2 linked regions of the Oryzias latipes genome follow. The protein of the gene in region 1 interacts with the protein of each later gene in a pairwise test. Links are inferred from orthologs where the notes say so. Each region holds a gene or a part of one and is shown on either strand. Other genes may lie near its edges.

Region 1 (4,964 bases):
GCACCCGGGTCCTCTGGACTGTCCTCTGAGGGTTTAACTGTCCAGCCTTCCGGATCTAGGGGGTGTTTGGCTGAGTAGGTTTCATTCAATAGAAAGTAGAGCACTTCAATGTCGGTCTCTGTCAGCTGAGCTCCGACTATTTCAAACATCTCATGAAGAGACATCATCCCATAGTAGTTAAGGCACTCTGCTTCATCCCAGTATAAGGAATTCTTCAGTGTGCATTCAGGATAATTCATTGAAGCCATGGTTTACCCCTTTTTTCCAAGTTTCCCACTCAAATAAAACTGTGGAGTTTAGGGGAAAAAGAAAACAAACACAAAAAAATTACTTTAACCATGTTTATGTTTGAAACTTGAAACCAAACAAATGGTATCAGGTTCCTTAATTAATAATTTCATTTAAAAAACGTAACAATTTGAAGGCCCCACTCCGATCATCTTTTAAAATATTTTCAAAGCGTTCCCCGTGTTGTTTTCTAGGAAGGTTTCTGCATAGCGGCAGGAGTTAATTAGAAATTAACCCCCCAGAGTCGTGGGCAGGACTGCTGGCATGGAGTTAGCCCCCCCTTACCACCATCCCTTTACACACTCGCTTACAGCCCCTCACAATCACAACTTCCACTGCACATTAGTGGTGCAACAAAAATTGTGAACAATATTGGAGCTATCCAACCGTACAGTTTTGAGCCAGATGGCAGCTCAGACGAGGAAAATGAAGCCCAAATGTGTCAGAATGAAGCATCAGAATGGAGCAGTGAGGGAGCTTGGTTGGTGTAGTAGCTTCTACGTCACACTTACACGTTTTTTTGCAACAGCTTTTTGCGTCTAATTCACATCAGTTTGCATAAAGAAATACTCAGAAATGCAATTCTAAGCTAAATTTTCATTTTCATCGGAGTGGGTATTTTAATTGTAGCTAGTAGTTGTCATGTTAAGTCTTTGTGTGTACATTGTGTGCCACAAACGAACACTCACTATTTAAGATTTTCTTCAAACTTGCAAGCAGCTACCACCTATAATGAAATGCATCGAGATGTGTTTAATTACTGTCATATATGCCTAGCTACAATTGCTAATGTTATCTTTACCGACTCGGTACCGTTCCTCTGAACAGAGTTATGTAATCAGTAGGGTGGGGGACAACACATACAAAACACACAGCTCTTCAATTGTTCGATTAAAAACACACACACAGGAGCTCGTTGGCAGTTATACTTCACGTAACACCACGCAAAATTAGCAGAAAAACAATTCTAGAGACAAATAAGACGGTCTATTGTTTGTTTCAACGACGGTCGGTGCGACGACATGATGATGAATCCCGCTGAACTTATTAGTCTAGCAGACGCTAAGGCGTCAACTAATACAGCGTAACGTTAAACACGCGCCTTTAAAACACTATTAGGTTACATTTTCCACAAAGAGAATATTCCTAGAGTGCATTAGACCTCACCTTTCAGCCGCGATAGCTTGCCTGACGCTGGATGATCTAGCAACTTCCACAATGCAACGTGCGACGTGACAGTGGCTAGACGTGAGTCGTAAATTGACCAATCACAGCTCTCGGGCTGGGTTTCATAACGTAAGGTCACGTTTTTGCCACACTTAACATACCGATTGTTCCCAGATTGTTCCTAAAAGAATCAAGGTAGTAATCTCTGTCACTTTGGCACTAAAAATGTTTTTTGATTTCTTGTCGACTTCAAAGTTAAATAGAGGAATGAATAAAATATTTTTATATGGTTAAATGTAAGGGAAAAAATAACATCATAGACTGGGGAGTTCTTTGGTGCAACCAGCAGGGGGCAGTGTGCGGCATTGGTGTTGTAGGAAGTTCTTTTCTTCTTCTTCTTCTTCTTCAGCCACATCACATCCGTGAGGACCAACAGCAACAAAACAACTTGGCTTTTTATCCATAACTTGGTCTGTAAGTATCTACATCGTCTGTAGGTTTGACATTTGACACATCACGAAGGTAAAATCTTATGTCTTTTCATTTCAATGTTTATAAATTACTGTGATCTTCGTACAATCAGTTTGATTTAACATGAGACACGAAGAAGTAGGTAGTATTCATTTTATAAAAGTTATTCCACTTATAATTCGACACATATGGACAAATTTGATCCTTAAAAGATTTTTACTTGCTCAAAATGTCGTTTTCTGGCTCAGTTCTCGGCCTTTGTCAGTGATGTGGCAGTGACCAAGCCCTGTTGACAAAAATTTTCCACTTACGAGATCCGCTCCTATGTTTCTGGCCAATCAGGAACAAGTTTGAATTAAAATCTAACCTCTATGCTCTTAAGAATAATGTGGAAACTAGTGATCATGTAGTTTTTCTTTTGTAGTTACTGCTGTTTCTCCATTTTAAACACATTTTATAAAATATATCAATTGTTATTTACCTTTAAAAAATAAAGTAAACAGGTTTTCCTTTCCTTTTTCCTTTTTTATTTATTTATTTAAGTTTGCTTTTGATGCACCTCGAGGAGTGTTACAAAAATCGTAAAGATTGTATGGTTGTATGGTGTATGGTGTTTTATTTCCCATTTAAACAGGGGAAAATAAAGAAGAATCCAGAAAAATTCTGACATGTTTTATAAAGGATACATATCGTTTGTACATTGAAAAATACGAGGAAAAATGCAAACTTCCAATAAGACAATCTTTTTTTTTCTTTTTTTTTTTTTTAAATTAACTTTAGAAGCAAAATGGAGAAACTAAACAAAACAAAATCTTTAAACCACTTGACAAACCCAATGATGTAACAACATCCCACATGCAAACTTGGCATGCACTTATCTGCATGTTAACAGTAAACAATAGGCAAAAAAGGAAAAGAAAAGGAGTCAGATCTTTCCTGAGCTTCTATCTTCCGTTCATTTGTTTACTCAGTTACCCATTGTAGTATTTGGGTATATGTCTTCAGTCATATGTATATATTTTCTATTTTATGATTTTCTATAATTATTATTAATACTTAGGCTCTTCATTAAACAACCTCAAACTCAAAAACGTTAATATTCTTTTATCCCACTTCATCTCTCGTAAAAAACATCTATCTCCATATAAAGGAAGGCCATTTTTCCACACAGTTTTTGGACTATTTATCTTGTGCTGATCCGAAGAAGGGGGAAAAAAAAGTATGTGAAGGAAAAATCTTAAGACTATTTCTTTTATTTTATTTATTCTATTTTCTTTTATTTTCAGGAGAAGGTTTGCAGATGCCATCTGGAGTACCAAAGGGAGAGAACTGTCAAGTGGACATGGACAGCAAGGCTGGAGATCTGTTTACGGCTGAAGATGCTCACCCAACTGGCACGGGTGGAGCTGGAATCCTTTCAAAGTACGAGTCAGTTTTGTTTTTTTTAAAAAGGAGTTTAGTGACCCAAACAACTTTCTTCGGTGATGGACGTGGACATTAAACAGCGTTTGTAGAAAAACCACAGCAATGGTGCTAAGGCTCTGTGAGTTACTGTCTTTACACATCCACTTTTGGGGGTGGAGTTAGTCCTAAATCCTCATCCTCCTGTTCTGTAGACTGTGCCTCATTACTTAAAATTTTTTTTTTTTTAAAGTTTTGTTTTGTCAAAGTTTCTAAGAATTTCCTTAATCAAACTACAAAATACTTTTTTGTTTTGCTCATATTGTCAAAAGTTGTAATGCATTGACTTTTTCCTTGAGAGTTTGTACGCTTTATTACCATTTTACCTTTATTTTGTAGGCTCTGGCTCCCTAAAGGCTTCTCTGCCAGCATGGCCAAGGAGTGGATTGATAGGCGCCGATTGTCCATTCGACCGTGGGCCAGTTTTGTGGACCAACGCAAGTTTTCAAAACCACGAAACTTCGGAGATGCATGCCAGAGAGTGGTGAAAAATGTGGAAACTTACAACAGCAACTACACCTTCATCTTCCTGGGTCTCATCCTGTACTGCATGTAGGTGTAAACCTGAGTTTGCTTTGGCCTTACCTCAAAACATTATTGAAGTTTTATGAAATAACAGATGCAACACTGACTGCACACACTAAGGCCACCGGGATTGAGAAAAGAAAAAGAAAAGATTGAATCAGTAACAGCATTATGAGCCTTTTTTTTTTTCTTTTCTTGTCAGTATAAGCTCCCCTATGCTACTGATTGCATTGGCTGTGTTTCTTGGTGCCTTCTACATAATCCACCTGAAGTCTCAAGAGTCCAGACTGGTTGTTCTTGGTAAGTAAAACAGAAAAACTGCTGTCCTTAACTTGCCTGAAAGTGAAAAAACTTTTTTTCAGAGTTTTTTTCAGCCATGCATGAAATGGGAGAATCTTATAGAAAGCCACAGAGAATTATGTTTTCATGTGTTTGCCAACTTTGTTTTTTTCCAGGCAAACAGCTTAATGTCCCTCATCAGATGGGTCTCGCTGGAGCCTTGTCCCTGCCGGTGTTCTGGCTGGCTGGAGCTGGAGCTGCTGTGTTTTGGGTTCTTGGTGAGATAAACTAAGTGTTTCCGTCATACTCTATGTTCACCAGAACATCTCTTTAAACACTCAGTTGTAAAATTAGAGCTACATTGATATCTCAAGTTATGTTGGTAACCAAAGGAATACTGTTGTGGCAACTTCCATGAACATAGAGAGCTGCTCCTCAACAGGGGTTTAGGCACTTGGTCAGGTTTGGTCAGGCTGGCTTAACCCTTGTGCTATCCTAGGCCCTTTACCACTGGGAGTTGGGTCATCTAGACCCACCAGACAGTGCTCTGAACCTTTTTTCTTCAATGATTTGTGATCTTCATTGGTGTCCATGGATTACATGAAATCTTTCCACCTTTATCCACCTTTGTCATGGTAGGGAGAACACGTCAATGTAAGGGTGGGGTCATCTAAGATAGGACAAGGGTTAAGAAAGAGGCAAAAGTGGAGAAACAGAAAAGGGGGATGTTTTTGCCCCTTGTGCTATCTTAGATAGCACAAGGGGGGGGAAAG
Region 2 (4,507 bases), on another chromosome or scaffold:
CTGGAAGGCGATTCAGGGGCAGATAAAGTGCTTGATGTACACATTGTGATATGCAGTCCAAACTATTTTGTATTAATATGAAGGTTTTTTTTATAAGAACAGCTGGTGACAGTTGCAGAACCAGTATTGATTGGGATCTATACATTTTTGGATTGAGTGCAGCTCATATTCATTGAAAAACAAAAAGAATGTGAGGTTATATAGCAATGAGAGGCTCGTAGAGGCAGAACTGGAACCAAATGTGTTTGATTTCATTGATGTTTGCTGCGTAAAACTGACGCGTCTCCTCTGGATCTCGTCTTGCTTCTTTAAGGATTCCCTCAGCTGAAGCGCAGCATCCTCACTATTGTTGCGCCTCCGGTCTCCTCCTTCTCCCCCCTCCCTTCCCTCATCCCTCCATCCGCTCCTTCTCCAGCACACACCGACCTGCCCATCTCCTCCACGGACACAATGACGAACGAATCCCCGGAGGAGGAGAGCCGAGCTCCGGGCGGCGGCGCTGGAGTCGGGATGGGAGCGGCGCGGAGAGGCCGCGCGGACGACAATGTCACCATCCTGACCTCCAGCATGGATTTCCCGAGAGCCAGCAGGAGCCGGGCCGACAGCGCCAACGACGCCGCCCCGAGCTTCACGTCCTCCGTGGAGCTGAGCTCCTCCTCCCTGGAGACGAGCATCCAGACGCGGATCTTCAAGATCATCGTCATCGGGGACTCGAACGTGGGGAAGACGTGCCTCACCTTCCGCTTCACCGGCGGGAGCTTCCCCGACAAAACGGAAGCCACCATCGGTGTGGATTTCAGGGAGAAGGCGGTGGAGATTGAAGGAGAAACCATCAAGGTAAATTCAGCCAGGAGGGGGTGGATGTTCAGAGGGGGTTTCCTCGCTCCTCCTCATCCTCATCCTCTTCGTGGCGCAGATCAAACATCTCCAGAAGGTTTCAGCTGGGAGGCTGGAATCTGTGTGGCTTTGTCTGCAGCAGAACAAAAACAGACTGTGTCAGTTAAATGTCACCATGTCTGCATCAAACTATAGAAACAAGAAATGGATTATGATGCTCAGTCTGGTAAAAATAAATGTAAAACATAAACAAAAAACAAATAGTTGCTGAAAATTAGTCAAAAGCTGAAAAAAAACTTCCTGCAGACTTAATCCTTTTAAATGATTGAAAGATGAACTAATAATATATCAAACACAAAAAAAACAATCCAATAAGTCCTATCTATTGCTTAAAAAAAACAACTCAAGAATAAAAAGCGGAATTACAGGATATTGGTGTCTGACATGAATATTGGCAACCAGTTTCCTGCAAACTGCAGCTCCTACATACGTCGACTTTGCCTCCACAATATGACGGACAGCAAAACATCATGACATAATGAGCAAAAAAAAAAACGTTCTGCAGATGAAGAATAATTGAGTGAGTAAAATATAGAGCCACTCCAATGAAAATTGTGTTTTGGTGGTTTTAACATGTTTCTGTAGCTTTCTTCTCACAATGGAGGACACATATGAAGAAAATTGAGATTAAAATAGCATTTTTTTTGGCATTTTTTCATTCAAATTGTCTTAAATCAGGAGCAGTTGAAATTTGAAAAAGTTTGTTGTTGCACCGGTTATATTAGGTTGGGGTTTGGAGGAGCTGTAAGCTAGCTGGGAGAGACTGTAAACAAAGCGATGATGATGGGAAATGAGGGAAGGCTCACTCTACGCCAACAATTCTGCCTGCAGCTCAGAGGCAAATTTCTAAGGAACTTCTGGCGCTCAGCAGAAACAATGCCCCGGGAAACGACACCGGCTTTTACCCGTAATTTTAATCATAACTAAAAGACGCCTGGGAATGCTTTAACAAAAGATACAAAAAATAGTATTACAGAGTATTAATAATCTGTTTTCCTAAAATGCACCAAAAATTCAAAAACCTGCACTAAGAAGAGCATTAGCAGCCTTCGTAATCTGTGGAAAAATTATACTTAATTTACAAGTAGAAATGCAGCAACACCAATCATTTTGATCAAGAATGAAAGAAAAATGGAACTGAAACAGAATCCTATTTACTGCACTTGTCACTAAACAAACATATTCAGTTTCAATGCTGTAACTCTAACCTGATATCTGGCAGGTAATTGAAGTTACCGTAGTTAGATCTATAACACTGTTCTGAAAGCTACTGAGGATTCATATTTAGCGTTCATTAAAACAACAAAAAATGTTCATTTTTATCCATATTGTCCAAATCCTTTCTGCCTTAACCACAATATGGATATACCTGGAACTCTGTCTCCTACCTGCTGATTTTGAACTGCAGTCCTCACTGTGCCACAGTCTTTCAGAGAAACTTCTAAATATAAGACCCATTAACCTTTGTAGTTTAAAAAAAAAGTAATTTCTATTAGCTGTCATCTTGGTTTAGTATTTTGTGCCTCACGCCATCCCTGAGCCTTAATGCGCTCACCTCAGGCTCGTCCTCTCGTGGTGAAAGGAGATCATTCAGCAGGGCTAAACTCAGAGCTGGGAGCCGGCTGCTGTTACAGGCAGAGCGCTTTGGTTTGTGTTCACCTTTACTGTAGAGTGTAACCCTTGTGCTATCCTTGGCACTTTAACGTTGGGTCATCTAGACCCCACTAGACAGTGCGCTGAACCTTTTTTCTTCAATGATTTGTGATCTTCACTGGTGTCCATGGATTACATGAAATCTTTCCACCTTTATCATGGTAGGGAGAACACATCAATGTAAGGGTGGAGTCATAGGATAGCACAAGGGCTACAGATGGCAACCTGTTGTGTTATTTCTGTGAGAAAATTTCTTTCAAAACACTTTTTTTTTTAGTTCCACTGGTTAATTCTGATATATAATTTGCTGCTGCAGAGGATTATATCTGCACCGTTTATGTAATAACGTTTTTTATACAGGTTTTATTTTTTAAGCAACAAATAACCATAGTTTTTTTTCTAATTTTACTCATTTATCTGCTGCTGACAGTAAAAAGGAAAACATCATAATTATGCCTGATTGCGTGACTTTTGTAAATCTGCAGTCAGACTTTTGGATTTATTACATATTTTTCTTTAAATTCTTTTGATATTTTGTCACGTGGGCTGATTCTGCTTTAATGCAATAGTTTAAAATTTCTTAAACTCACCAAAATCTTGGTGATTCATGGTGACAGACCCCTGCTTTAGGAATGTAGTAAGTGTATCCAAAAAAGTTTTCTATTTTTGAGATTTCAAGTTCTGTAAGTTATTATAGTAGTGGGTTTAAAGGTTGTCTTTTGGACTTGGTTTTCACATGACAGACTTTAAACCTATTACTATGATGGAATCTACCTGGATGAATGAGAGTCTTCATAGACTTATTATAGACTTATTATAGAAGAATGACAATTTGCCTTTTCGTTTTTTACTATCAAACGTCTTTATTAAATTTTGTGAAACACTTCTAACTTCAAATTGCATTTTTTGTCTTATCATAGCAGGACCTAAGATGTGGGGAGTTTTGGGAGGCAGACTGTATATCCAGAGTTTGCTTAGAGTTGGTGCTAATATGGCAGAGCACAATATTCTCATAAGGGCTGCTGAAGATGTAATACCAGAACTGTTAGTCAAACATCAACAGCAAAAGATTTCAATTTTGGCAGCTTCTTTTAAGGGTGTTTTAACAGCCAAACACTCCAGTTGATTCAGTTTGAAGGGATTTGTTGCTTGGGTTTGGTTTGCATTCACACTAAGTGGAGGGAAAACAACTAGAAGACAATTGGCTAAGCCTTTCCAAGGACATTGTACACAAAAAGCACTGGAATAACAAAAGCACAAAAACACAAAAATAAGCAAGATGCAAAAACAAAACAATGAAGGAGTACCAAGCGCATTGAATATGGTGTTTGAACCTGATAAGTTGAAAATTTGCAGACTGGAGGAGAGTCAATGTTTTAGATGTCAGACAAGAGGGATTTGAACCCATATAAAGCACAATGAGGGGATACTGAAAGATCTGAGGGAGCAGGAAGAGATGCAGAAGATCAGGCAGGAATTTATAGGAAATGTCCTTGAAATGTCCAGAAGGATTCTAAATTGAATGCTGAAATTAACCAAAAGTGGTGAAGTTATTCTTAAGATGAGGGCGATGTAATGGAATGAGCGAGTTTTGATAAAAAGGCAATTGACTGAGGTTTGAACCAACTTGAGTTGATGGGAGAGTTTTTTTTTAAGAAGCTTGACTGAAAAGACAAGAGTAACAGCAGAGTTGAGAGGCTGATAAAAGGGCAATAATGATTGATCTTGGATTTACTGATTACTTATTAATATGCGACTGGAATGATAAACATCTGTCAATGATAAAACCCAGAGTATGGGGAGGAGAGGAGACAGAGGAAGAGTCAATAGAGACTAAGCATTTTGTTGTTTGGAGAGTGAGGATTTAGTAACAAAGAGGAGATTCTGTTTGATTTTAAGAAAATTGAAGTGAACCAAATTATAACACTAGGAAAATAAATCAATAAAAAGAGGTATG

Evidence for each region.
Region 2: the proteins of rabac1 (region 1) and ras-related protein Rab-33A interact in binary tests that used the Homo sapiens proteins (3 or more experiments, as listed by UniProt). The two-hybrid records come from large-scale screens. The link is inferred for Oryzias latipes from reciprocal best matches to the Homo sapiens genes RABAC1 and RAB33A.

What each region holds. Positions count from the first base shown.
Region 1 is NC_019874.2:20,935,003-20,939,966, reverse strand, and holds the start of rabac1 (prenylated Rab acceptor protein 1), read left to right. Parts: upstream 1-1,594; 5' UTR 1,595-1,650; intron 1,651-1,864; 5' UTR 1,865-1,929; exon of another isoform or gene 1,930-1,977; intron 1,978-3,212; 5' UTR 3,213-3,226; coding exon 3,227-3,348; intron 3,349-3,726; coding exon 3,727-3,939; intron 3,940-4,114; coding exon 4,115-4,212; intron 4,213-4,367; coding exon 4,368-4,469; intron 4,470-4,964. Other genes in the region: dedd2 (DNA-binding death effector domain-containing protein 2), read right to left, coding at 1-248. UniProt on the Homo sapiens protein: General Rab protein regulator required for vesicle formation from the Golgi complex. May control vesicle docking and fusion by mediating the action of Rab GTPases to the SNARE complexes.
Region 2 is NC_019868.2:25,359,264-25,363,770, forward strand, and holds part of ras-related protein Rab-33A, read left to right. Parts: exon of another isoform or gene 1-415; 5' UTR 416-450; coding exon 451-837; intron 838-4,507.